Drosophila melanogaster: one gene and its partners. The protein of the gene in region 1 interacts with the protein of each later gene in a pairwise test. Each region holds a gene or a part of one and is shown on either strand. Other genes may lie near its edges.

Region 1 (10,325 bases):
TATGGCGCGAACGGACGCGATCGGTAATCGAATTAGGTAAACAAACACTCCATAAGGCGGGCGTACGTTGATAATGTGTGCATAAGCAAATAGGAGACCGTATTGGGATTGGAATTGGGATTGGGATTGGGGCTGGAACTCTGCGCTGGACGGATGGATTGGATGGACTGCGATGGATGGGGAGATCTCGAGGAGCGGGTTGCGATTGCGGCGGCGATGACGGGCGAAAAAAAACTAAATGAAATTTCATTTAGGTGGTCGCCAACGGCTGCGGACCATCTGCTTGTGTGAATGCTTGATTGTTGAAGTGCCACTTGATGGGGCGAGGGCGCACGCTACTCGCGGGGATTACACTGGCCAAAATTGGGATCAAATGGTTACGAAATATGTATATACCATATATAACACTATTCCATAGAGACCATTGATTCAACTCTTTAAATATTGCTATAGATCTTGAGTAAACTAGTAAAAAAAAATCGTAAAAAATATTTTTAAAAATTTCAGACTTTAATTAAGAACTCTTACTGTCAAGTTAAGACAAAAAAATGTTGTAAGAAGATAATTCTGTTACTTTAAATTATCCCAGAAAACAATGGAATGAAAAATATCTCAGTGCTGAAAGGTTTCTTTGGTTGCTGAGCAATATGGGTCACCGGTTTACGCAATTTCTTACCGTGCAGCGATCGGTATCCAGATATTATTTACTTAGTAAATTATTCCTGTTCGATTGTTTGCGTTTGCTCTGGATCTCTGGCATGAGGGCACTCGAACGTCATCGTCAGCAGCGTTTCATTCATGATTCGCCTTTCACAAATCGAAGAAACATATATGCACGAGTGTTCGGTGCATTGTGCACTTTGCATTCGAACAGACAAATAAATACAAAGGCAGTTCTGATCAGCTTAGTGAGACATCTCATTATCGCCAGGTGATTCTGCTGAACCATATCGTTTCGCATCCAGATTTCTGCACTCGCTCCTCTTTCCACCCGATCCCATCCCATCCCAACTGATCTCATCCCATCTCATTCCATTGGGGAATCATTTCAGGTAATTGCTTTTTAACTCGACTCTCAGCTTTCAGCTTTCATCTTTCAGCTTCCAATTCGAATCCTGCATCGCCGGGAGCCACTCAATCCGTGGGCTTTGATGCAATTTGGCTTCTGTGCAGGCCACTCTGCCACTTGGTGTAGCCCGTTTCTGCCCCGTTCTGTTCTGAGAGTTGCGAGCTGCGAGCTGTGATCTGTGTGGCTCCCCGATCACGCCATGTGTAGTTTAGTTGCAGTTTCGATTCACATCGGATTGCCTTGCCCAGGCAGCACATCAATCATCCATCACGCACCAAAGGCCGGGAGACAACGACCCAAAACGGGCAGTGCAAACCTGAATGGCAAACGGCCCATGCCACGCATGCGATTTATACGTGTCCAAGGTTCACTCTGGATCGCAATGGATGCAATTTGGCCACTTCACTGCACATTTGACCGGATTAAAATTCCTTTCAAATGGCTATATGCTACTAAGCTCTTTTAAATTGCAGGCATTTTAGTTATTGTTATTTAGCGATCATTTTATGTTATCTTTCAATGCAATAAACGATTTAGTTTGTTTAAAAAGGACTTTCAGGCTTAAATCTTCTTTTAATAAGTTTATGTTTAAAAATCGAGTTTTAATTGCAATTGGTCAGTTTAAAAGCGGAATAGTAGTTATGAAGTCCACAAAAAGGAAGCAATTTAATGCTTTTCTGTTTTATTATAATGCTAATGTTTATATTTTGCTGAGGTATTATTTACCAATTATTTATATATATTTTTTTGTCTTTCTCCTGAGTAGAATCAAATAAAAAGTAAAACAAACATACCATACTGCCATTTTATTGATACAATATTACAGCTATTTTAATAATTTCGAAATAAAATATTTTATTATTATTATTTATTTTAGAAGTGTAAGCAAAAAGCCAAACTTCTTTTCAGTCTTTAGCCTTAATTGTTAGAGATTATACATATGCATGAACTTTTGTAAATGTAGCTCATTTGTACACAGATCGATATGATAATCAAGAGTTGGTATTTGAAAGTGCCTACTTATTGGGGCCATGGTCTCTGGCTTAAAGTAACGATAAATTGAATGCATTACTCAACAGTAAAGATTACGAACTAAATGTTCCTAAATGGTACAATTTAAGCTGTACGGTTAATTCAATCAATTAGAATATTACATTAGGCGAGAAATGCACCTAAAGGTTGACTTCAAACGTGCTATGGTATCCCAACTACATTTGTAGTTAAAATTAAAGGGTTCCCCAACTCCTCTTTCTCTTCTTATTCTGGTTCTTCTTCTTGTCACTTCCCCAAAGCGTTCGCTCTCTCTCACACTCACTGCTCTTCATTCGTCTGCTTCTTCTTCTTCTTCTTGCCACTGTTTATACTCAGCACTTTACCAACAACGAGTTTATAATTGTTTGATTTGTGTGCGCGCATAGTGTGCATGTGGTTGTCCCGCTCTCGCGCAGAAGAGCGAGAGAGCAAGAGTTTGCCTCAACGGGCGCCATTATGAAAGTACGGTACTCGTAAACCGGTTGGCGTTTCGAAAAGCACTCAAAAGCGGAGTGAAACTGTTCGAGTGGAGCGGAGTGACCCGGGTGACCAGGTGAAATTCAAGCGCTCATTGTGCTGAGAGCAGCTTTCGCGTGAACAACGTTTCAACGGAGCGCAGTGTTCGCAAGAAATTCGATAAAAACAAATTCTATAATAAAAATAAGAGCAAGAGATACGCAGGAGCGTTTTCTAACTGTTTCTGTCGGGATCGACTGTCGTGCATTTGTCACTGTGTGTGTATCTGTGTGCGTGTGTATGCGAGTGTGTGAGTGAGCAGCACGCTATGAATCCAATTGACCGCATTGCGTTTCCATTTCCGTTTCCGGTTGCATTCGCTATAATCGATACCTCTGCCTTGGATGTGCGACACTTGTGACTGTGATTGTGTTATACCCAAATAAAATTAATAAAATAAACAAATATAAAATAACAATAAATAATAAAGAGAATTGGAAAGAGCGATTCTTAGACATGTTGATTGAGCCGACTTTAAACCGTGACCTTGGCTCGCTTACTGTCGCTAATTCTGGCCTCTCGGCCGCGCACTGGAAAATGGAGCCCCATCCCCAACGCATCACATCGCTGGCCCCTCACGCTTCCAGTGGTAAGTGCCCCAAAGTGCCCATGTGAAGTCTTGCCGACGGCAAAGCCAGGCTTGGGGATTTTAAGAAAATATACACAAATCTTCAAAAAATAAATCCGAAACTGGGTCAAAGGTGTAATATGTCATTCGATAGCAAATCCGGAATGTTCGAATTTTAATTTAAACAAATTAGTTCTTTCGCGATAAAACCTAAAATCTATTATTGAAATTATGTATAACTAATAACTAAGCATCGTTTAAATTAGTGTGTTAAAACGGTGTTTCGGTTAAAGTATTAAATAAAGTATCAAACTGGGTCAAATGTGTTTATGTGTAATTCTTAACCAGATCCATTTAGTTTGAATATAGTTGGTGTTAACTTTTCGCTGTAAAACAAACAATTTTTTATTTAAATGGTATATGGTAGATAAATTATGTAAATTATCAAATTGATCATACAAAGGTCTATGTAAAACTAACTTTGAGTGCCTTTTTATTTTCTTAAACAGAAGATAAAATAAGTGTGATCCTTTATAATATTTCTAGTTTAAACAATGTGGGCCATTTATAAGAAAGCGATTAAAATTTGTCATGTTCGTACTTAGTATGTTCATAACAAATGTTTTATGTTATTCCAACTTAAATCTTCAGTTAAAACAAACACAAATCGTTACGCATGTCACATTACCAATTGCGTGGCTCATTTGACAGTCCCATTTCCTTGCTTTTCACCTTTAAATAGACCGAAATAAACAAAACTGGTTCTCATTTGATGGGCGGCACAATTGATTATGGGCCCATATACTTACATATATGTATATTCAGTTAGGCACGACTGGAGGTGCGCGTATTTTTTTAAAAATATTTACTTGACAAACAACAAAAGTGAAACGCGCATTTAAAACGCTAATTGACAATTTGAGCGACGAGTTGCCCAAGCCGAATGATATATGTAGGTTTTTTAAGCGAAGGCAAATATAATATTCTGTCGAATTAACGTAATACACAGTTGTTTTTCTACTTGTTTTTTGCTTTCTTTTCGTATCCAGCTGAGTACATATTTTAATTTTCGCCTTTTGTACTAAGAGATCATTGTCGTATCAATTAGCTTGATAAATCTGCTCGTGCCTGGAAGATTCGATTGCGTGTCGCCACCATTTTGGCCATTCGATCAGCTTAGACATTTGCTGGGGTAATAGAAACGCTAATATATTCGTAGGACCCATCAGTCATTTCGGTTCGGTCAACACAATTAACGCTTAATTTATCATAATTAACCATTGTGGCCGCGACAGCTAAAGCCACAATAAAATAACAATACCCAATTATCATTCAATTGCAGTAGCGGCGGCATCCGTGGCAGCAGCAGCAGCAGCAGCAGCGGCAGCGGCAGCAGCGGCGGCCGGAGCGGGATCGGGAGCGGTAGCCGGTGGCGGAGGGGCCACATCCACATCACCCACATCTGTGCAAATACCACCCGGCTTTGGCGGCGGCGGCTCCACTGGCGGCATTCCGCACGGTGCAGGTGGACCCACGGGGAGCACATTGAACACCCTGATGTCACAGCATCGCCTCCTGGAATTCTCACGTTTCGGTGGACTGCGTGGCTATGACATTGCCCAGCACATGCTAACCCAGCAGGGAGCTGTCTCCAAGTTGCTAGGTGAGTTGTGAGCCCTTGAAAGGGACGACCGCTCAGTTTCTCAGTTCCTTCCCTCATCAGATAACTAATGGGTACTTTGTTTTCGATTTGTTTGCTAATTTTTATGATAAACATGTTATTATCCTGCGAGTTGCCCCTACCATCCCCTGCGTGGCGTATCCCTCGTGTGCGCAGCCGTGTAATTTGGCCACTTAAAATTGCATAAACTCCTGACTGGCGGTGGCCAAAACGCGGCTGGCTCATTAATCAAAATGCGGCTTATTCACGAGCGGGTATTCCTTGGTGGTAGTGTTGGTTGGTGCGTGCTGCCGTGCACTGAAAGAAAAAAATGCTTAATTCCAAATAAGGATATGTGATCACATTTATTCCATGTTTAGAATTTTTTAAGTCTTTTAAACCCGTCATTACAGTAACTTTAAGTAGTTAAAATCACTCATTTTTAAGTTTTCCAATTCTTGAGCTGCTCTGGTTTCTACCAGTGTATTTGCCAAGGCTTGTATTGTTTTCCCATTCATATTTTCCATACATCACATGTTGATGAAACGAGCAGATAAAGATATTAGCAACCAGGGTTAATCCTTGCTGCCAGCCAAAAACAGATGGATTGCCAAAACCAGGCTGGCAAAGTCATAAATCCATTGTCTCATAATTTAACTGGAATTGTGCTCTGATTCTTGCAGGCTCGCTGCGACCACCGGGCTTAATTGGTGGCTCAAAGCCCAAGGTGGCCACGCCGACGGTCGTCTCCAAGATCGAACAGTACAAGCGCGAGAATCCAACGATCTTCGCCTGGGAGATACGAGAACGCCTGATTTCGGAGGGTGAGTGTTCCACATAATTGCAGCTAATCCGCGGACGCAGATTGAACGCTGATTGATCGGCGGTCGCTTTTAGCTTTTGATCTCGATCTTCGACTGCTCGGTAATTGCGTAATCCCGCCTTGCAGGTGTCTGCACTAATGCCACCGCTCCATCGGTGAGCAGCATCAATCGCATCCTGCGCAATCGAGCCGCCGAGCGGGTGGCCACCGAGTTTGCTCGCACCGCCGCCTATGGCCTGTACCCGCCACCCCCTCATCCGTACGGTAGCTTCACCTGGCATCCGGCCGGCAATGTGCCCGGCGGCCAGGGGGTACCACCACCGCCACCTCCATCCGCCCTGTGGTCCGTTGCCGCTCCCACGCTCGCCAATCTGCCTCCGAGTGCAGCGAGCGCTGTGCCCGTCTCCACTTGTGGCTCCCTCAGTTCGGCGCACTTGATGGCCGGCGGAGCAGGTGGCACACCAACCAATCGGGCCATCTCCCCTGGCTCTGGCAGCCATGATACCTTGGAATCAGCGGATGAGAACCGGCACATAGACTCCGATTATCTGGATGACGATGATGAGCCCAAGTTCAGGCGGAATCGGACCACCTTCAGTCCGGAGCAGTTGGAGGAGCTGGAGAAGGAGTTCGACAAGAGTCATTATCCTTGTGTGAGCACCAGGGAGCGGTTGTCCAGTCGCACCAGCTTGAGCGAGGCAAGAGTTCAGGTGAGTCAGGTGAAAACAAAGGCTTCACTCAAAACTTTCAAAAAGCAAGATTAAAAGTGGCTAGTAAAGTAGTTACATACCATTTGATTTAAATTAATGAGTAAATCAATACTTTTATATCAGAAATTAGAGTTACCTCTTTCAAAGCCAATTAACCAAAACCTCAAATAACTAATCTTTATTAAATATCATTTATTTCTACCCTTTCCAGGTGTGGTTCTCCAATCGCCGGGCTAAATGGCGTCGCCACCAACGCATGAATCTCCTGAAGCGTCAGCGCTCCAGTCCCGCCAATCCGCTGCACTCGCAGCAGTCGAACGATGCACCGGCCAGTTCGCCCACGCCCAGTAACCACAGCAGTGCCTCCACCTCCGCTCCAGTGGCTCCCGTGCCGCCACCTCAGCAGCCGTTGCCCCTGTGCGGTGACCACTCGCCACAGGGTCCGCCACCTTCGGTGCTGTTACACCCACTGCATGGTCCTCCGGGCGGCCACCATCACCATCATCCTCTGCACCTACCCACGCATCCAGCTGCCCTCCAGCTGCTCAGCCACTACCACCAGCAGCAGCAACAGCAACAACAGCAGCAGCATCAGCAGCAGCAGCAGCAACATCATCAACAACAACAGCAACTCTCACCCAGTGGATGCAATCCGGCGGCGAATCACCTCTCCATGGGCGGGGAGCGTAGTGCCTTCAGGAGTCTGGTGAGCTCGCCCTCGGCGGCTGCCTTCCTGGGATTGGCCAGGCAATATGCCGTGGCTGCATCATTAACGGTCGCCGAGGAGCAGCGCTCCAGATTGCACTACTCCGCAGGTGGTTTGGGGAGCGGTGGTGAGGGCACGGGACCCAATACCAACACCACTCAATCTGGCGGCTCAACCATGACGGTGGACAACTCGTCATCGGACTCGGATGAGGAGATCAACGTGCACGACGATTCCGATGGTGAAATTGAGTCGTCGGCGGCAACGGCGGCAAAGGTGGCTCGCCTGTCATCCTCCGATGCGCCGGCCACGTTGCAATTCCTAAAGCATGACCGCTAGATGGGCGACATGGGCGACAAGGGCCACCTGGTCTAGATGGGCGGCGGCAAAGTCTAATTGAAAACCTGAGTTGTGCGCGCCTCTGTGATTGACAGTGGCAACAAAAACAAAAGCAGCAAAAGCAACAGCAACTACTGATGCAATTGCAATTGCATTTGAAATTGCAACTGGTGGACTGAAATACGAGAAGCGACTACACACACAGTGGGCAAACAAATCGAAAAACCAAAGTTAAAATGCTGCTCACCTACTTGGCTGCGGTTCGGGGTCGCTAGAAAAAAGAAAAAAAAAACTAAATAAAAATAGAAAAAAGTAAACAGAAAAATGTAGCAGAAAGCAGCAGCAACAACATAATGGGCGGCTTAAGATTAGCTGAAATTGTAACTAATACCCGATACGAACACGCTTGTCCCACTTGAAATGCACATGCCCATTGTATACCCTATAGTTATGCATAATTATACTATAATACTTGTTCATTCGCCGGCTGCCGACTTACCTCATCACCATTTAAGGCTATAGCATATGCAATATCTAACTATATGTAACTTTAAACTTTAAAATAGTCCTAAGCCAAATCTATTTATGAATGCGTATTGTTTAAGGATTTGATTCTTGAGTTGGTTGCGTTTGAACTGATATTTAGTGCGTAGACTAAGTGTTTTTGGCTCAAATAAAAGAAAAAAACTAAAATGGTCAACCGCTGAGTGAGAAACCAATAAAAAGTGCAAGAAATAATGAAGAATCGTTTACTTTCTTTCGGCAATAAACAAACAGAAATATATGACCAGGAAATCGGTTTGTATAGACTCGCTTTGGTTTGACAACAAATACAATTTATACGTTCGATTTCACGCATAATTATCCATTCAAACACACTGGGCAACAAACAAACACACCAAACACGGCCGAAAAGCATAAATAAGCATTTAACAACACTCGAAAGCTTCTTAAAACGTTATTAAATATTAATACACCGAACGAAGACAGAACAAAAAGCCAAACGAAATCGAAATCAAAAAAAAAAAAAAAAAAAAAAAAAATCCAAATCCAAAATACGCGCATAGAAAACGCTTAAATTTCGAACGTAATGGCCAATATGTCCAAATCTGGCTGATAACATCGACATTTTAATTATAACCAAATGAAGCCGCGCGCACAAACACAGTGGGGACAGACTAAACGCGACGAGGAGATGAGAATGGATGGTATGGTTTGGTATCATATGGTATCGTATGGGGACCGATTAAAAATGCCGAACCAACTAAGCACATAAATCAATGTAAATTATGGTGTTAACAAAAGGCGAGCTTGCAGGCTTGGATTGGATCCGATCCGATCGGTTGGAATGGGATCGGTTTGGATCGTTGACTTTTGTAGGTTGGTTAACCGGGTGGATGCGCGTCTTTATTTCTGGCCTGGCCGAGATTTAAATGAGCTCCTCGCATCTGATAAGCGAAAGAGCGTGGAGCACCATTCGTGTCGATACTTACAGCTCCGAACGGAATCGGGATCGGGATTGGAAGTTGTGGACTAGGGGGTATTGGGGGATTTGAGAATTTTGGGCTCGGGAATGGTCATCGGGTGTCCACAAATTCAATTTGCTTGGGCTTTTATGAGCAAATGGCCCAGCCCCATCTCCATCGCCATACCACCAATCGACTTATTCTAATTTAGTGCGGAGCTCTGCTCGTGAGCATTCCTTTAATAAATTTAAATCACCTTCTATTGAAAATATTTTCACCTCGGGCCCATAAATTATACATTATACGATATTTATACAGTCTGCGCCACGTCTGTGCTATATATATACATATATACATACAATATATGTATATTCGGCTTTTATTTGCCTTTTGGGTTCGCGCTCATTCAGTGATTTCGTTTAGTGTACTTAACTTTGATTTGACGGCCTGGGGATTCCATCAACGTGATTTTCGGCTCCAAGGGATTCGCTGGAGGATGCCTTGGTTTGATGGACCAGGGCAAAGTGGCGCTCTCATGAGCGCCATATAATCGCGCAGTCAAACATTTTTACGATGCAGCATCTCAAGCTCGTATATCCAGCAACCTCGACGAGCTGATCAGTTGGCCACTTGATGGGCCACGAGGATCCTGCAGATTGTCCTGCAACTTTGTTGCCAAATCTTTGTTGCCCGCTGTTGGGTATGAGCAGTTTTTATTGTCTTGGGTTGGCGGAAATCGATGAACTTTACCAAGGCTCCACCGACGGACTCGAAGTACACAGATAAAAATTTCATTAAATAGAAATATGATTAATACGATATACCTATAACTTAAAAAATCATTTTTATTTGAACTTATTAGAATGAATCTGCCATTCTAATTTAATCAGTATTTATCAATAAAAAGTGTCCCTCCGACAACATTCAACATTTTCTATACACAATTTTTTCCAGTGCATGTGTGTCTTTTGTGCCTCCATTGGCAAGGAGCCGGTGATAAATCTGTTGGCGAGCCGGCGCAACATCGCCATTGCATACTTCTAAATGGACCATAAACGTGCGAAGTCGCAACACCAGCAATAACTAAAGTTAGTTACGTTTACTAATATGACAACAATGTTGTTCTTGGGCCCTTCCCCTCGCAGATGTAAATGCGAGCTAACCAGTGCCAGGCGAATATCTTTCCCAGGTTGTGAATGGGAGTTGGGAATGGGTGTCGTTATTCCGCCATTACGTTTACGGCTAACAAAAACAAATACATACCTCAAATAAGGGGGCCTCCATGGCCCACCTCCCTGCTCCCCTAAAAAATAGACTCCTCCCCTCGGCAATCAAACACGCAAAAGCAATTACATATCCTATGGTTTTTATATAGTCACGAATCCCTAACTAAATATATGAAGGGTAAGAAACTCGCTTAGGAGTCAACTGAAACT
Region 2 (5,857 bases), on another chromosome or scaffold:
ATTGTTGTTGTCACTGATCCTTCTTCTCTGCTTGTCTCTCCCTCTAGTCACCACATCTTTATGCGCTCCACTTCTTTTGGCGACCCCCTTTTGTTGTTGCATTTTTTATGAATGAATCTCTTGCTTTTTTAGACCATTTTTTAAGTGTTACACTCACACACACAAGCACAGCACTTTTGCGCACTCACTTCGACAAATTGTTACTCGCTTTGTTGTTGGTTTTTGTTTTTATGTTAATTTTTACTTACTCCTGCGCCTGTGCTAAAAACTGAATCTAAATTACAGTGCATAAACAAACGGAACGGGAAAATAAATAAATTATCACACGCAAAACACACACACGCGTCTCCCAAAAGGAAAACAACAAAAACAATAAAGTGCTATCGCCAATCGGCTTAGACACGGCCTATCGATAGTGAGTGTTCGATAACCGTTTGATGCTGTGGACAGCCCATGTGGAAAGTGTCATCGCTAAGTAGCCAGCTGTTTGTGAAATGTTTGTTTTTCAAGCAAAATTAAGCATTTTTAAGAGAAATTAAACAGTTTTACAGTTAAATAAATTGAACATTTAAGATGCCCAAGGTTCGCCGCAGTCGCAAACCACCGCCAGACGGTTGGGAGCTGATCGAACCAACTCTCGAGGAACTGGAGCAAAAAATGCGCGAAGGTAAGGACAAGCGTGGCGGCTTCTGTGATAATGAAAACTTTACTATAATCCTATACGTATATTATTAACCTTCTTAAACAGCCGAAACGGAACCGCACGAGGGCAAACGCATTACGGAATCCCTTTGGCCCATTTTCAAGATCCACCACCAGAAGACACGATACATCTACGATCTATTCTATCGCCGGAAAGCCATCAGCCGGGAATTGTACGACTACTGTCTGAAGGAGAAGATTGCCGATGGCAATCTGATTGCCAAGTGGAAGAAGTCTGGATACGAGAACCTATGCTGCCTGCGCTGCATTCAAACGAGGGACACCAATTTCGGCACGAACTGCATATGCCGGGTGCCCAAATGCAAACTGGAAGAGGGTCGGATCGTTGAGTGTGTCCACTGCGGTTGTCGCGGCTGCTCCGGTTAGATTCCATGTGGACGCATTATTGGCATCTTTATTCGACACAAATAATCCTCATAATACATAGTTCAGTAGGTTCAACTTTAGATTTCGCCTGATTTCTTCATAGTATGTAAATACATTTAAATACAAGCCACAATTATGGTTAATGGCATGCTAAACATCTAAATAGATGCTGCAATAAACCGATTATGTAAACGACAAGGCATCGTTGGGAAATGCGTTCCGATTTGTTTAAAAAAAAATGTAGAAATGGTATGAGCAGACATTTTTGTATTAGAATGTATAGAAAAGATAGAAATTAACTTGTAGTTTAATCAAATAAATAAAGATTATAATTTATGAAAATGTTTAAAAGCATTTAATAAATTAAATTTCCTACATATGTCGAAGTGGAGTTTTGAATATTAACTTAAATATATTCCTTTTTTTATAATCTAGCCATCTCAATATGTGAGTTGTGAAAATTTCTGTAGTAAAATATGCAATTTACGTACGTCCTTCTAATGATTTCACAGCTTTTCTTTAAACGATATATACTATACATACATATATTTTAATTTAATGCCTTGGACAATTTATTGCTGCGCTGACATAATTCAAACTCAATGTCGTTTTCGGGGATGTGGCGGAGTCTCCTTCATGTGCGTCCATTTATCGTCGCCTTGCTCCTCGATTTTCAGTACTCTTTCTAAGGGTATAGTGTTTCTTTATTGTCCGAAAATGGAAGCCCTAGTTCAACATTTGAGTATATAGAAATAAGAGTATATACATATTTCCTTGAGTCATCCAATTCAGCTAGAGTATTCCGGCCATCGGCATTCCCAACTTATTCTCAAGCTGAAAACTGTCAGGCTTCAAGTGTTCCTGCGGGGTTTGGTTTGGTTTTGGGTGGCCAATTGGGATTTGGTCGAAAATGATTATAAATGGTTTTTTAATTATACTTGTCTGCATATTTTCTCATTTGCCAAACAAACGCGGCGCTGTCGATTTTATTGTTCACATGGCAAATGGTTAATGCCGAATGGAAAATGGTAAAATGCGAAAAATGGAAAAATTATTGCCCGTCTGCCGCTGACAGCTTGCCCCCATCTGGCTGAAATGGGGGATTTCGAATTAAAACTGCTTTCGGTCACTAAAAATACTCAATTGTTTTGCCAATTACCCAGCGGAGTTATTTATGCCAGTTATGTAATTCGAGTGGCACACATGTGCAGCGTTGTAAATTGAAATACATGAAAATGGAGCAAGTGGAAAGTATATTTTGGGTACTTGCAGTGTTATAACATTTTACTGCTTTTTGTTCAACAATTAATTGGTTATTTAATTAGCATAAGTTGCTGCTTGCGTCATATTGTTCTATAATATTGCTAGTTAAATATTACATTACATCAGCCAGAGATAGCAACTATTTATGGATTTTGAGTTTGGTCCACCAAACTCTATTACATATTATTCTCAGCCAAAGGGATTTCTGGTTTAACCCTTTGAGGCCTGCTAAGCAGGTCGCTGAACCCCTCATCGTTTCGAGGGCTGTTAAATTAATTAATAGACTAAATGCGGTCGGTTCGGCTGGTTAATCCCACGACAACAAGCCGCAACTTGTTTGCCACCACGTCGAAAGTGGCTCCTTGAAATGGCTACCTGATGCGGGAAACCCACTTCCAGATGGGTTGATCCGGAATGGACAAATAGCAACTTTAGCAGGTAGCAATGGCAATCGATATTGGTGTCTCTTATCGCATAATGCCGCCTGATCCCACCCGCTTGACATGCTCGTATTTGCCCAAGCAGGTTGATTTTCCACATAGCCCAACATTTGTTGACTCATTTCGGCTGCTAGATAAGGCGCGAATCGGCAAATGGATGGTGATAGACGAACAGCCCAGCTTGACCTTGGGATTATTGTGGATTTAATGACGCCCTTATCAGTTGCATTGAATCGTATCTCTTGGCTTAGAATATCTTTTATATTATGGGGAGTATTTGCATACCGACATACATATGTATGTAGGTAGCCATTGAAGAAACCCACATATTGGTTCGCACCTGATCCTTTTGTTTTTAAATTTGACCAATTATCAGGTAGACTCAGTGCGTCTGCTACCCTAATCCCTTTGTTTACATATCTGCGATTCGTTGGCCAATCCGGATGCAGGTAGGCGGTGTCCAGCAAGGCGACAAGATTGAGGAAAACAAGATCATAAATCCCAGTGACCGCCATTCATGAAGGTAGAACCCGCGAATAACCCATCCAGTGTCCAATGGCAAGCTACCTGCGGAAATGGTATAAAACGGGGCTGACATATTGCCTAAGGCAGCATTAGCACACGAAATCTCGACGAGAGCAGTCACAGACCACGTCACACATCGAAAAAAATCACCATGGAACGGAGTCATCTTTACTTGCCCACTCTGAGCTACGCGGCCATGGGTCACGTATACGCACCGTATCGCGGAAGCAGTTCACCCGCACTATCGACAGCATCGTCAACATCATCGAAGCCGGAGCAGATCGAGGAGCTGGTGTCCCAGCAGCTGCATCATCTCAAAATGCACTACGCCGACGAGGAGCAACGCTACGTAGACCAGATGCTCCTGGAGAATCCCATTGTTGTGGAGCGCCGTGCACCGCCGCCGCTGAAAACGGAGCTTGCTATGGATTGCCGCGGATCGGGTTCCGGATCAGGTTCCGGTTCTGGTTCGGATGTCAAGGATGCCCAGCGTCAGAGGGCCGAGTCGTGCCGCAAATCCCGCTACAACAACAAGATCAAGAAGGCCAAGCTGCGCTTCCGGCACAAATTCGTCAGCGGGCAGCTGAAGAAGAGCGCCGTCATGTTGGACACGATGCGGGATGTGATTGCCCAGGCGGAGAGGCAGCTGCTCGAGCGGGGATATCCCGCCGCCACACTCGAGCGGATGCGGGCCACTTTCGGCCTGGAAATGGAGCAGTGATATCATAGTGTAGCTATGTGTCGCAGGAACGGATCCCTGACTAGTCCAGCATTAGCCATACCACTTTTTTTTTTTGTTGACTATATCTAGTATTTATCTAAGCATATTATTAAATTTTTAAATAAAATTAAGAATCATATTGAAAACGAATGCTTTCTTATTCAAATATTTGTTATAGGTTCACACGATCATATGGAGTCAAGGATAACTTGTTAATTTCACTTTACAAGAATTTCCCATAATTTGGATGCATTTATTCTGCATTTAACGCATCGGCAGTCTTGGGGTTTCCTTCGCCTGGCCGAAGGTAATCCCATCGGAATTGGGCCAATGCAATGCACCCATTTCGACTTGCTTAAGTTCAGTTCATTTGATCCGACATGATTGCACTTCGCTTTCCCCGTTTCACGTTTTTCCCCCTTTCCATTCTTTTTTTCCCTTTTTTTTTTTGGCTTGCGAACAATTTGCGTTGCCAAAAGCAGCAAATGCAATGGAAGTAATGGCCTTAAGAGCAGGTTTCTGTAAGAGATTGTGGCTAAATTTAGTGGGGCTACTACTGCAAATAGCACCCCACTTTCTGGTTGGTGTTTTCATTTAAGAACTGCGAACTGAACTTGGAAGCTTTACTAAATGCTTGCCAAGGGTATATACTATGTATATATATATACAATATAATTTTAATAACTACATATATTTTTTAAGTAATTTCTCATAATATCTTGATGTCTGCGTAATGAGAAGGATAAATATAGATACTTCTGATTGTTTTTTACCCCAAAAAGTTATTCTATTTCACGCCGTATCTTTTCAACTCTTTAGGTATCAGTTAGTCGTTACTACTGTTCACAGATATTTTTTAATAGCACAACATTAAGAATGAATGGAGGAGCAAATAATAGGAATGTAAAAACGAGAGTATAAAACGCATTTCGCCACAATGGCCAATCGAATTTCAAGCTGATGCTCGCTCAAAAATTTCATTTTCACGTGCCAGGTTACAAATGATTTCATCGCTGCAGTTTTCCTCCGGCTAAATCCCCACTATCCCCCCATTTCCCTGGATTTTCCAACTTTCTGTTGCTGCTTCTTAACTACGCACGTCTCACTCTTATTCGTTCACTCAAGTGCACACAATTCAGCGATTCAACGTCATCAGTGCGGGGAAAGGTACTTCGTGTACCTAACTGTGGTACAGCATTAATTTTGTTACCTAAAGGCGATATTATGAGCTACAAATATATGTATATTAAATGAAATTAAAAAAAAGACTTTTCTACTTTAAAATACGGAAAACTTTTGAAATAATTTTCAATATTTGAGTACAGTTATTAATGTGCTGTCCACCACTGTTTGTCATAATACTAAATGGTTGAAACTTTGCACCCACTTCACCCATCTCTTTCTTCCCGCACAACGCTCTCTCTTTCACTCCCTCTTGTAAAGTGCCGGAAAAGAACTTCAATTTGATTTTATCGCTCGGCCATAAAAGCTCAGCTCGTTTGTGTTGAATGCAGTCGAAGAATTTCAGAAATGAAAAGAAAACCGGGAGTGATGAAGGCCATCCAGATGCTATGGTAAAAATGGGTAGTATTACCAGAAGTAGATGGCGCTGCAAAACAGATCAGTATATCGTTTTCTGTAAGAAAGTATCTAAAGACGAGTATCTGAAGGAAAGTATTTGAAGGAAAGTATCTGAAGGAACGAATCTGAAGGAACGTATCTGAAGGAAAGTGTTTGAAGGAAAGTATCTAAAGGAATGTATACAAAGGAAAGTATCCAAAGGAATGTAACTGAAGTAAAGTATCTTTATCACGCAATC
Region 3 (7,636 bases), on another chromosome or scaffold:
AAAGTAAAATTGGTTAAAGAGACAAAATCAACACAAATAGTAAATACCTAGCATTATACCTTTATACCCTTACAATTATTCACATAATGCGCGGACGAATTAAAATGCACTGTTCTTATGGTATTCGAATACCCGACGGCAGCCTGCTAAGTATTACGTTTAAAACCAAGCACTTAATGATGCTCTAACGAAACAGATGAGTGCGATTATGCAATCACAGGGCACCGCTAATCGATAGGCTCACATAATCGTACCGTGCCGGCCAACATTTTGTCACTATGAGGCCGACAACCGTTATTAAAGCGAGCTCACTAATACGTATTGGAGTCATATTGGGTTTGGTGAAAGTGAAAGGTGAACAGCATACCATTTTGCGGTGCCGTAAAATATATTATAAATGAAAAAGTTGCGTATCCGAGTGCTTAACAGAGGAGAGCAGCTGACCTGCTGCAGTTTGCCCTTGAGAGCCTTTAGCGTCAATTCCACTTAAATTTACCAAGCAGTGGTCTACGAAACAAACACAAAACACAACAACAAAAACGGAATCCCAACGGCAATCTCGTCAAGGTCGATGCATTCAACATCTGCAAAATCCAGTTTATACCCACAAAGGAGACGAAAAAGCCTCGACTGACATAAGCAAACCGTGTGCCGGACCATCGATTGCCAAGCAAAACAATCACAATTAACTTCTGTAAAAAAAAGAGCGAGCTAAGGAAATATTTGTGTTAGAAAATCCTTCAAGTATCAGTAAAATCTTCAATCTTAATAAAAATTATATGGACATTGGAAGCTAGCTTCGACAAGCCGAATCATCTAAACCCTTCGAATAATCGAATAAGAAAAATGTTATGATCAAAAAGGTTTATGCAGCAAATAGCATTAAAACTGTGAGATCAGTTTGCGTAGAAATAGACGAACGGACACGGCTATATAGAGCCGGCCGTTGATACTGCTCAATTAATGTGGTCGTAGATATAGGATAGAAAGGCTATACAAAATAAAAGTTTACAGCGGCTTTTTGCCGTAAAAGAAAGTTACTTTGCCGTAACAAGATTGGTGTAAGAGGGTTAAGTGGAGCAGCTGCGTCGGGCCCCATTTAATTTCACGATACGGTGCATAGAGACGTCAAGAGCTCTATTTACATGTGCTACGGATATGGACGTCGTCGGCTTAACGCAATGTTTTAATAGATTGCCCATTTCGTAGCAAAAATAATTTTCAACTGTAATGCGTAAGCATTTCAAGGTGAGTAGCGCCGTAAACAACAAGCTTGTAAGGGCAGGCGCAGAAGCTAAGAAAAGTTGGGTGTTGCCGTTTGGTAGTCTATTGGTACTCCTCGTACTGTGCCGACAACAATTTCGACGTCCAATTCAACGCAAATTATCTGGAGCCTTGCGAAATCCAGGGATTACCATTGCTGTGTGCAAATTTATTCAAGCTTGCCTCAGACTCGCTGGAATACTGCTTGAAAGCGAAAGTGCACTGTGTGCATGCAAAACAAAGTTGCGCCATGCCAATGGTCGTACATGCTCGTATAAAGTGTTCAGGTTACAGTCAAAGACCTAGCGAAGTAATTTAATGACGATCTTCCGCGTGCGCCAAAACTTTCGCACGGTAAGCATTGACACTGCCTGCGGTAAAAAAGAGACGAAATGATTAGGTCGAGGCGTGACCACCATACTAATGGTTTAACTGGCATTGAAACTGAATTATGATTAAAACCCCTTTGTTATACTATTCATTAAACACGCGCTTAAACAAATGTTCTTGCAAATGTTCAACTTTCGCCATTGGCCTCGTCCGCCTCAAACCTTTTTCTTTCAGCCATCGACATTCGCATTAAACCAGTAGTACATCAAATGTTTTAACACAAATTTCCTAGCAATTACGCATGAAAATATTTCCATGGCGGCATATCTAAGGTTTTACCCAAATATATATTTCTGTGGCTTAAAAAAACACCACTCAAAACACTGAGAAAGTTCATCAAAATGGAAAGTGTTGCCACTATGCCTAAACCAAGTCATGCAAGTCTTCATACCCTTGCGGAGGGTACATTCACTTAAGTCAGAAATTTCAAAGCTGTGAAGGACACAATTGTGCCCATATATGGTATATATATTTCTTGCTAAGTATCAACGACCGAATCGGTATAGCAGATAGATTATAAATTGTTTAAAAGAGGACGATCGGACAGCCGGGCTTGGCTATTTCAAGTTCGCTGTTTTTACTAATATGTTATGAATAAGATACATATATGCACTTTATAAGGCCACAAAGGTAATACAAAAAATCTATCTCAAAACAATTTAGCCGTCTAATGCTGTTATTATAATTTTAATAGTGTTAATCCTTACCACGTTATCTAAGCAATTTTCGTAGTTCCCAATTTGTTTTCTCAAATTTTGCATATATATCATTCATAAAAAATGTCTGAACAATTAAGCAAACTGTTTTAAAAATTATCAACAGTTATTATAGCCACAATTTGCTCGGTTACACCGATACACTCACTCACTTAGTGAACCTATTCAATCGAGTCAGCGAGCTGTATGCAATTAATATCTGTGTCATAAGCTGCTTGGTTGGCTGCTGGCTGATAACTTACATAATTCCATTACCATTACCCAGCAGTATGGTGAGTAGACAGCCCAAGTGACCAATAGTTGGACACGGTAAGGCTTGTTATGGTCGAAATGCTTGATTATGTTATTGTTCGCTGGTAAATAGAGCAGTTGATCAGACCATGTATTTACCTCCATACATACCCTAATGTAAATACTCTTACTTTTTATATATCCTAACACATTTCGCAGTAAAATGTCTTAATATATATATATATATATATATATTAAAATAAATATACATTTTTGGACATATTAAGAAACTCGTTTAGCCGGAGCCGGAGTATCCACAATAGAGCTCAACACAAGTGGTTAACAGCTGGTGGTTTGACTTCTTCTACGGTGATTGAATTTGACATTAGACTATTGCGAGCTCGTACATGGCAGCCGGAACAGTGTTCAAAACAAGTTTGGCTTTATTTGCGGAACATAATATTTCTATCACGAAGTTTCGAATATGATTGAGGAAAAGAAGAATCCATAGTACTGTAAAAACAATTCACTTAAAAATAAAACTTTTTCGGATCTACGTTTAAAAAAAGATTTCAGTTCATACATGAACTGAATACTTATCCATGGTTGTCTTAAAATCTGGTTAAGTGCTAACTCTTCTAGGACTAGTGGGTAAAGTGTGTAAGCCCTTTGCTCTTTTAAGTTTTTGCCTCCATTTGTATTTCTAGCAGAGTGTTCTTCACTGAAGTGGGCATTACTCACCTGTTTTAAAAAGCAGTAGGCACAATCCCAGCAGGCACAGAATGTTTATTCGACTTGTTGAATACTTCATATTGCAGGTATGGCGTGTCGTCGTAACTGTAACTGTAAATTTTCTTGATGTGGTTGGTTCAGTTTCGTTTTGGGGTTAGTTCACAGAATTTAAAATACCATAGGCAAGCTCGGATAAAAATAGTGGTTGGAAGCGCGGGAAGTGGGGAGCAGCAGCAGCCACCGTACCGATGACGGAGGCAGTTACCGTTGAGAAAACCTCTGTTTTGTTGAAAACAATTGCTAAATAACTAAGAAGGCAGTGTCGCAATTTTTCAATTTAGATTTTTTGAGCCTTGTGTTACAGTTTTCTTAATGGTGTGTCTGGCTTATGCCGCGACTGCGGCTTTGTGGCTGTGCCTTCACTTGGTTAGGACATGTTTGTATTGTTGTAAGCAGATTTAGTTTCTGCCCCTATTATTCGAGCTTTCGTTTGGCTTTAACCAACGCGACGATGCATAGCTAACACACACGTTTACAGATTACAACACTTAGTTTTCCTCCATTGCTTTTGGCAAGCGATTTTTAGTTAGGTTTTTTAGTTTCTTTCACGTGAGACTGCAATGACCGCTGTTCGTTTTGTAGTTACCATGGAAAAGATTGCTAGACAAAAATGCAAAGAGATCAAATCGAAGATCGGTGTTTGATTTAGATTTCCCGTACGGTATCGCGGGCACCTCCATATTGGAAAACTCTGTATGAACTAGTCTGTAGCGCGTAGAGGAAAATGCGAAACAAAATAAAACAAAACCTGCACGTTTTTATTTTGTTTGTCGAAGCTTGTATATATATTTAGCGTAAACTTTCTTTTTAACGCAAAGTTAGCTTACCACCGACACACACGCTTGAGCTCTTCGACTAAACTGCAAAATGCAGTTAAAACTGCTTTCTACAAAATGTTAAATTTTTGGCTGGTTGCAATGTCCAGTCAGAGGTGGACTTTATTTCGACGCGTTTACGAAATAAATTAGCAATCGAAAGCCCAAAAATTGATTGTGGCTTATTGCAAACAGTTTAGACCGCCTGACAAGTTCGGGTGACCCTCGAGCGTCTCTGCTTACCGTGCGCTTAAGCGAACCACACGTCCTAATCGAAACAACTATACAGCGCGACTGTGCGGACGAGTGTCTTGAGACTCTGGGCAAGCGCAGCCAGCCAACCAAGTTTCGAAGTCTGGCTTTTGGGCCAAGCTTGGTCTGCGCCACGCTTGGCCCCGACTGTTACTTTACATTAACAGACTGTTCAAGTTGTTGCTGCACCCGCGCGGAGTCGTTTGTATCTCTTAAGCTTTTGAAAGTAAGAGTAAAGTTAACGCTTGCGCCATTGCAGCTTTGCTACGTTTTACAAGTTATACAAGTTATCAGAAAAATGTAGTCCAGACCCATATTCTTAGTGAATTTCAACATTTTACTGAGAATTTCATCCAAAGCTCCCCATCAGTTTCAAGCTATCTACAAGCGGGGAGCGGGCTTTGTTTATTGTTTTCTGAAACTACAACAATATCCACCCTCTAGCCAACGAAGGCTGGGAAACTATTTACCAAGGCGATTGTGAAATGTTGTTACCTTTTTCGTTACATTTTCGTTTAGCAGCAGGTTTCTGGATCGCTCGATAGTGGATTACGGTGCTTAAATTAAAGAATGCTTACTACTTCAACATGGGCTTGGACTTGAATCCATGTCAAGCATGGGATCGAAGGAAGACCACTCAATCACTTTTAGAATTAATACCACCCAGCTGAATTGCCCTTGATAAATTCGATTTATATGCCCAACATATAGCTTTACTCTAAAGTCTAAAGTAAAGTGGCCAATTTCGAACCATAGAATTGAAAGTAAAACCGAGTTGAAAACATGGCAACGACCAAGAACTAGGCCAAAGCAGCCAACCAAAGCCAAGCAAAAGCTGTAAAACAACAGCTGAAGTAAAGGGGTTCTGGTGAACGGCGATGGCTGATGGTTTGAGCAAGGCATGCGAATTAATCTAATTCTTTATTTATTAATTTATTTTTGCTGGATTGTGTTTCACACGATTTTTTCTGTGAATGGAGGGCGAGGTGTTTTGTTGCATTGAATATTTTTGACTTTGTTTAGGAAATTATTTAATTATTTCCGTTACTATATTAAAAAGTGTGTAACGAAGTGTATCTTGAACTAAACGTTTCGGACCATATAAAATATACAAATACTTTATCAAGACCATTGGCAGAGTCGATCAGGCTTGTCCGTCCGTATTAACGTCGAGTTCTCAGGAACTATTAAAGCTAGAAGGTTGAGATTCAGCATACATATTCTAGTGACATGGACGCAGCGCAAGTTTGTTGTCCCATGTTGCCACACCCACTGTAACGACCTCAAGCAACCCGAAACTGCTACGCCCACATTTTTGAAAAATTGTTGCATATTTTTTTGTATATTTTCATCAGTCTTGTAAATTTATATTCATTTGCCAAATCCATTTTTTCCACGCCCACTCTTACGCCCACAGACCGCCCATAGCTATCGTTATACTAAGAACACTTTGGCGGCGTTCCTTCTAATGCCCACAAACCCCCAAAAGCTGCCACGCGCACACTTTTAAAAAGTTTTTGAGATTTTTTTTTATTTTATTATAACCCTTGTAAATTTCTATCGGTATACCAAGAACACTTTGGCCACGTTTGGTAAAACAGGCGATTTGGCAAACTCATTAATGAACCGTAATAACTCCGTTTCCTGAAACAAATATTTCTTCTGTTATGTATATGAAACCTGTCAAAATATGGTCAATAGTTAGCACGCATTAAGATATCGCAAGTTGATTCAGACAGAAAAAGCTCAACGGAAAATGATTGTCAAATTGTTGGCCCTCAAAACTCGCCTATAATGTTTTCGATAAAGTGGTTACCCGACAAGTAAACCCGCACTTTGCTTACACATGCAATTCGAATCGGTCAGAGCCTTCAGTTTATGGTATACTTGAAATATTGGAGCATTGTGCTTAACTCTTGAATAATAAATGGAAGACAAAAATACAATAGTTCCGTTAATTGAAAAAGTCATTGCCGTTAAACACTTAATTAAATCATATAGTTTTACGAAATGTTGAAGCATTAAATTTAATCAATGAAGTGAGTGACAAATCAAAAATGTCAAAAATTGTAGTGAGAGAAAAATTGTAAACACTGTGGATACATCATAGTTAATAGTATTATTTTCAAACGCAGCTCTCTTGGTGACTTCTGGTGTATGGCAATCTTTGTCTTAGGTGTTTGGGACATGCCATACTACATTAATGCCCTTGTTAATACAATTCCACATCGGCTACTTGTGGTCAAATTTATTTCAGCCTCTAACTCAATGATAAGCAAATTTCGTTCGATTGTCATGAAATTCCTTCGCGCACAAACTTTTTTGTGCCTTAAGCCAAGCATTTTGAAAGTATTTTGACTTTAATGGGTCCACTTTTGGACAGCGCATGCAGTTGCCTTTCTAATGACAATAAATAAAATTAATTATGTTTCAGTTATAACAAAAATGGACAAGTATGCAGTCACACCTACGAATCAAAATAGTTGGATAAACTTTTATCAACGATTTGTTAAGCTAAACGCCAAATATATTTTGTCTTTACTTTAATATCATATCAGACATTGAACAAATATCAATAAGAGTCAATGCTTTTAGTTAGGAATTGAAAAAACTATATACAGAATTTTCAGATTGTTAAATAGTTTAACATAACTTCTTATTTTATTTTCTTGCTCTTTCGTCTTTAGAAACAACACTAGAAGTCTTTCTCATTGCAAACAAAAGTACAAGTAATAGCGTGGTGACCTTCCCGTTCACCAACGTTTGGGGTAGGAACTGAAGAGAAGGGGAGTGGCCTTTAAGCAATCTAATTGTACAAATCAAGCGCAGCGCAAATGGTGGCGAATAGAACAGCCGTCAAGCTGCTATTACCGGAACCACTGGCCACGCCTTAGTTGGAAGCAAGTCGTAGTTATAGTTAGCAGCGGAGACTTACCTAACTAATCTGTTACATACATTTTAAGAAACATACTTTTCGCAGGTTTTTAAATCTCCCAACAACAGACCCTAAGAACGTGATATGTTTTGGTGTTGATACTCGTTTAATGATTGATTATTTTTCTATTGCTAATTGATTTAAGGGAAATAGTTGCAAAAAGTCATGAGATATTCGATACCTATTTAAAATTGAGTTTGAGTTAGTTTTCAAAGCAGCCGATTTGTACGAAGCCGGTTTTG
Region 4 (6,332 bases), 6.1 Mb from region 1:
TCTGCATGCTTTATGCCATTGTCTTTGTCAATATTGTTGTTTCGTGGCACTGCAATATAGGCTTAATAGTACCTTTTTGTGGTCAAAAAGCCCTATTTCAAAAGTCCGTAATACAAAGTTTTGATTACGCCCTTAGGTTAGTAGTAGATAAGACTTTAGTGTTGCGTACCAGAAATTTAAAAAAATCCAGCACGGTTAAGATACATGTTTTTATTAAACAAGTGATAGGGATCGAAAGAACTGGCTTGTACTATGTGTTTGTGATTTTGAATTGTTGAATTTCTTGTGTCTTTCCCTGTAGTTGAGTGTTGTAAATTGCACTTTTAGGAGTATTAGCTGAAACAATAATTAATGTTTAACTAGAGACTTAAACATGAACTTTTTTTTTTTTTTTAATTCGGGTCCCACGGCTACACCTCCCGTCCAACCGACCGAGGGGCGCTGCCGTGTATCGTACGGCTCGATTCGCGAGAAGATATAGACGCGATATAAAAAAGAGAACAGGAACGAGGAAATGAATAAAATGTAAAATTACTATATTAAATATTACTGTTAGTAGGATCTAATTATGTAATAAAAAAGGTAAAATCGATTGCTTTAAGAGCGGCAGAGAGTCAAGATTACAGATACAGAATAAGATAAAGTCTATTATAGTCAGAATATAAAACTCTGTAAGGGTCATGCAACTCATAGTTAGATCTACAATGATTTAAGATAAGGGGTATATAGTTTCTAGTGAATCTACTTGTAACCGAGAAAATAAGCCGACTAATCAAGTCGGGACTCTCAACATCCCCACGAATAAGCTTACAAATAAAGACTGTTCCAAGCATAGTTCTACGTTTAGCTAGGGGCGGTAAATTAATTAAAAGTAGTATACTAGAATAAGGAGGTAATATACGGTTTGCATCCCAATTTAGGCGCCGCAAGGCAAAAAGTAAGAATTTTTTTGGACCGATTCAATGCTGTCCGAGTGGACTGCGTATTGTGGACTCCAAACAGGTGATCCGTCGAGAATCGGACGGACTAACGAAATAAATAAGGTTTTAGTCAAGTAAGGAACTTCACCTAACTTCACTATAATATACTATATACTGTGTTGTTGGTAATTCAATTCTTGTTCATAATTAACGTTTTTAGGTCGCAACTTCAGGTTCTCAAATGCGGAAATATTTATTTGGTGATCTGCTGCGAGTAAACGTGCAAGAGAGAAGACAATACTGGATATACATACATGTATATAAAATCTCAATCGCTTTATTTAGTATTTGATGATAATGAGGACAGATTAAGAAACATTGCAAAAACTTGTGCTACAGATTGTCGCAAAAATGGACTGCTTGCAATAGAAATCTGAAGCTATTCAAAGAAAGTACACAGATTGGCTTAAAATTGAGACCGTTTATAGCATTAAATCGATCGACGATCGTAGATCTACAGGACTTATAAAGGTCTTATAAATTATCGAGTGGAAGAACTCAGAGAAGAAAGGCGTCAAGTTTGGTGAAATCGACGGCAGGGAATATTAAATTATTGATTTAATATAAGGGTGGTAAATCAGACGTAGCATACATATTAAAACTGTTGGCTATCTGCCCTGAGAAAGCCAAAATCCTGCGCTCATTAATAAATCAGCCTGTTGCATTCGCACACATATAGTTGGGGCTACAAATATAGGTACAAGCATGTTAGTTACAAATGTTAGTATTTTATTTAATCTGGTTAACAACAGTGGTTAATATTTTTGCAGTCGGTCCCGTACTCGGTCACGTACTCCTGTCGCGGAGATGTCTGGATGTCTGCCAACGACAGTGGCGAGAGGTGCTCACAATTAATAATAAATATTGTCTTAAACGTTTGGCTTTGCAATAAAACGTATAAAATTCCTAAAAATTTTCACCTATTATTAAAAGTTATTAGCTATTATTGCAACCGCCACTACCCTTACATTGATTTACCCCCTGGTTAAAAGAAAGAATTAAGTTTCAGCTTAAAAGTTATCGTTTATTTAATAAAATTTACAAGGACTATTGTGCTGGGCGTTGCTGATGACGACACACGGGCCGTGCTGCACCTTCACGGAGCTCTCGCTGCGCCAGTCGCACTCGATGGGCACAAACTGACCCTTCCGCATCATGGTCTTGGGCTTGGTGATGCCGTAGCAGGCGTGCTGGAAGACGCTTCTCGAGATGGGCAGGCACTGCTCGTAGATCTCCACGATGTCCGCGTGCATGCTGTCCACGGAGAAGTCCTGGCCACAGCGCAGCTTCTGGTGGATGTGCAGTTTGCTGCGTCGCGAGAACTGGGTGCGACACCTCCGGCAGTGGAGGTCCTTTAGCGGCGAGCTGGTCTGATCCCTTTCGATGGAATTGACGGGGGTGGAGAGCTCGTGGAGCCGCTGGAATTGGCCCATGATATTGTTCAGGATGAGGAAGTTCTTGTTGGGCAGCTGCTGGAGGGTTTCGCTGATATGATAGGGCACCACATACAGCTCCTTGGTGGTCTTGCACTGCTGCAGTCCGTAGAGATTGACGCGCATGTTGGGCGGGAAGTAGCCGTTGCACTCGCGGAAGTGCTTCAGGTAGGCGGAGCGCAGACTGGCAAGCTCTGCCTCGCTGGTGGAGCAGCCGGTAGTGGCGGTCAGGCCCTCCTCCTCCTGAAGCTGCAGGGGTAGGGCGAAGACGGACGAGTCCGCTGACTGACCGTCCGCCTCCACCCTAATCCTCTTCACCTGTACTTTCAATCTGGTGATGCTGCACTCTGCCATGCCGTACTCGCTGCTGCAGTTGAGGTAGTTTTCAATCCTCTGCATAAGCATCTCGTAGACCACGCCCACGGATTCGTCTACGTCGTAGTGGTGGTCCGCCCTCAGCGAGCCGCTCTGAAAGATCAACACCTGGTCCATGGCGTTCACGTAGCAGGCCAGATTGAACTCCACGGCCACGGTGTTGTTCTGGAACATCCAGCGGAGAAGCTCGGGGATTCCCCTCGCACAGGTCTCGCCCATGAAGTGTTCCAGCTTGTCCTTGGAACTCTCGTCGCAGAAGAAGAAAGTCTCGATCTGGCGGGCCTCGATAATATCCATAACGGCCTGCTGTTGCTTGGTAAGATGCAAGCCCTGTGATGCTTCTCCTCCCCGCAGCCAATGCTGGGAGGGCGGCTCATCTGCGTCGATGGAGCTGTAGCAGGTGGCACATTCGTGTAACTGGCCCTGGGAAAACCACTGGTGGTGGAATGTCTGCGTGGTCTCCTCGTTGGTAAAAACGAAGCTGGAGATTATGGGCTCGTCGAACATGATTGAGATATGGAAACTTTGGATTCGAAAACTAAAGGTGGATATAGCTTTGTTGGACGATTTACCAATTTCAGGCACAAATAGATGATTACTCTTTCAGTTTGCTCCGGAAGCACTGAGATGTATCTATGGCAAGATTCAGTTGCTGAGTGATATCCTTATCTTCGTCCACCTGGCTTATATACAAACTAGTACTACAGGGTAACAGGTAGACTGTGAAGGTACATATATCCTTTGGTGTTACAAATCTACTTGTGGATTTTCCTTTTACCTAATCCGTCATATATTTTATGAGCATTCAAGTTGTGCTAATAATTGAGTACAACAGCAGCTGCGCGGTCATAAAGTTTTATTAGGTATAGGTGTATACGGTATAATCTGTTTTAAAAATGATAGAGCGGCTGGTATTAGATAAACGACGCCTACGAAGGGATTGGCAGTCTAATAGATCACCAATTACAAAGCACATGCTTAAGATACCCACACGCAGGCTTACCAATGCTCTCAAACAAGAGGAAAAAAACAGCCAACGTTCATATATCGAGCAACTCTCTCCCACCAGCACTAAGTACCCTCTTTGGAGAGCTCACAGAAACCTAAAGACTCCAATAGCGCCAATTATGCCACTACGAAGTCCCTCTGGCACCTGGTTTCGAAGTGATGAAGAAAGAGCCTGTGCTTTCGCTGACCATTTACAAAATGTATTCCGACCAAATCCCTCTACCAACACATTTATTCTCCCTCCTTTAATAGCAGCCAATCTAGATCCTCAAGAACCCTTTGAATTCCGACCATGTGAACTAGCAAAGGTTATCAAAGAGCAACTGAACCCAAGAAAATCGCCTGGCTACGACCTAATAACTCCAAGAATGCTCATTGAACTCCCAAAGTGTGCTATTCTTCACATCTGCCTGTTGTTCAACGCAATCGATAAGCTTGGATACTTCCCTCAAAAATGGAAAAAGTCGACCATAGTAATGATTCCAAAGCCAGGAAAAGATAAAACGCAGCCATCATCATATAGACCGATAAGCTTACTAACATGTCTTTCAAAGCTGTTTGAAAAAATGCTACTCCTTCGGATTAGCCCTCATCTTAGAATAAACAACACACTTCCAACACATCAATTTGGCTTTAGAGAAAAACATGGAACCATCGAACAGGTCAACCGAATCACGTCAGAAATTCGTACTGCTTTTGAACATCGAGAATACTGCACAGCCATTTTTCTAGACGTCGCGCAGGCATTTGACAGAGTGTGGCTCGATGGACTTTTGTTTAAAATAATCAAGCTGTTGCCCCAAAACACACATAAGCTACTGAAGTCATACCTATATAACAGAGTGTTTGCAATAAGATGCGATACAAGCACTTCACGCGATTGCGCAATCGAAGCTGGAGTGCCGCAAGGCAGTGTACTGGATCCAATCTTATACACCCTGTATACGGCGGATTTCCCCATAGACTACAATCTAACAACCTCCACGTTCGCTGATGATACCGCGATACTCAGTCGCTCCAAATGCCCAATAAAAGCCACGGCACTCCTATCCCGACACTTATCATCTGTAGAACGATGGCTTGCCGACTGGAGAATTTCAATAAATGTTCAAAAATGCAAGCAGGTTACCTTTACCTTAAACAAACAAACATGCCCACCACTGGTCTTGAATAACATATGCATTCCACAAGCCGACGAGGTAACATATCTGGGTGTTCATCTGGACAGGCGGCTCACTTGGCGCAAACATATAGAAGCCAAATCGAAACATCTTAAACTTAAAGCAAGGAACCTCCACTGGCTCATAAATGCTCGCTCTCCACTTAGTCTGGAGTTCAAAGCTCTTCTATACAACTCCGTCTTAAAACCTATCTGGACTTATGGCTCCGAGCTGTGGGGCAACGCATCCAGAAGTAACATAGACATTATTCAGCGAGCACAGTCAAGAATTCTGAGAATTATCACTGGAGCGCCGTGGTACCTTCGGAACGAAAACATACACAGAGACCTAAAAATCAAATTAGTAATCGAAGTAATAGCTGAGAAAAAAAACGAAGTATAACGAAAAGCTGACCACCCATACAAATCCCCTCGCAAGAAAACTAATCCGAGTATGCAGTCAAAGCCGGCTGCACCGCAACGACCTCCCAGCCCAGCAATAAACTTATTAGGGCATTAATGAAAAAAAAAAACTATCACTAAGTGAAAGTTAATTAAGTTAGATTAAGATTTGAACACTTATTGTTAGTCTCTTAACACAAAGAGAAGATTCAATAAATAATAAAAATTAAATAAAAAAAAAAAAAAAAAAAAAAATGATAGGTTTTTCAGACAGATACATTTTCAATAATCTTAAATAGAGAGGCGAGTGGTGGTATCACCCGCATGGAAATAACATTCTGGAACAAAATTATAAGATTATCCTAGAATCCTCGCAAACAAATAATTATTATAGCTACTTCATTTATGTTATTGATACTATCAAATATTGATACGAATTGATACTGGTCAAATTAGTTTTGAATTGAAACGAATTCAATAACGCTTTAGTGCGCTTTTACTTATTTAATTGACAGAGTGGCTTCCCCAATAATTTCTGAACAATTTTGTAGTTCCTATTCAGTTTTTCCATGAAAAACCACAATCAAAAATGTTAAAATAAACAGCTTTTCTTGAAATTCAGGTAGACGGAATAATCAAAAACCTAATGAAAAAAACCCTTTCTAATTAGCCATCGGGTTTAATGAGAGTGAAATCGAAAAAATATATTAATAATATATTTCTGGATTAAGCAATAGCTGTACCCATTAGAACGTACCCATTATTATAACTTGGAAAGAATATGTCAGAGAATATTTGGTTTCCAATAGTTCGATCGAAAATTGATTTGTACAGACAAAGGATTTAAAATCTTAAAGAAACATTGCAAGACTGCATGACAACATTTACTATATCAGTTCAGCAACAGAGTACATTTCCCCAAGGGCCAAACTCAAGTGTCACAACACGTAAGTCAACACGTGAAAATTGGATTAT

The links.
Region 2: the proteins of eyg (region 1) and sisA interact in a two-hybrid assay, tested with the Drosophila melanogaster proteins (one large-scale study listed by BioGRID).
Region 3: the proteins of eyg (region 1) and Cda5 interact in a two-hybrid assay, tested with the Drosophila melanogaster proteins (one large-scale study listed by BioGRID).
Region 4: the proteins of eyg (region 1) and term interact in a two-hybrid assay, tested with the Drosophila melanogaster proteins (one large-scale study listed by BioGRID).

The regions. Positions count from the first base shown.
Region 1 is NT_037436.4:12,460,367-12,470,691, reverse strand, and holds eyg (eyegone), read left to right. Parts: upstream 1-2,670; 5' UTR 2,671-3,073; coding exon 3,074-3,206; intron 3,207-4,527; coding exon 4,528-4,848; intron 4,849-5,528; coding exon 5,529-5,669; intron 5,670-5,794; coding exon 5,795-6,378; intron 6,379-6,589; coding exon 6,590-7,423; 3' UTR 7,424-8,155; downstream 8,156-10,325. Other genes in the region: CG32102 (uncharacterized protein), read left to right, coding at 1,269-1,535.
Region 2 is NC_004354.4:11,319,902-11,325,758, reverse strand, and holds sisA (sisterless A), read left to right. Parts: upstream 1-3,401; 5' UTR 3,402-3,468; coding exon 3,469-4,038; 3' UTR 4,039-4,180; downstream 4,181-5,857. Other genes in the region: l(1)10Bb (lethal (1) 10Bb), read left to right, coding at 574-667, 749-1,089. UniProt on the Drosophila melanogaster protein: Involved in sex determination and dosage compensation. Required for proper expression of Sxl in embryonic somatic cells. Also has an essential function in the yolk nuclei. Involved in endoderm migration and midgut formation.
Region 3 is NT_033779.5:54,740-62,375, forward strand, and holds the start of Cda5 (chitin deacetylase-like 5), read right to left. Parts: upstream 4,530-7,636; 5' UTR 4,451-4,529; exon of another isoform or gene 4,220-4,450; intron 3,993-4,219; exon of another isoform or gene 3,510-3,992; intron 3,455-3,509; exon of another isoform or gene 3,444-3,454; 5' UTR 3,412-3,443; coding exon 3,342-3,411; intron 1,029-3,341; exon of another isoform or gene 78-1,028; intron 1-77.
Region 4 is NT_037436.4:18,590,317-18,596,648, forward strand, and holds term (terminus), read right to left. Parts: upstream 3,456-6,332; 5' UTR 3,296-3,455; coding exon 2,009-3,295; 3' UTR 1,987-2,008; downstream 1-1,986.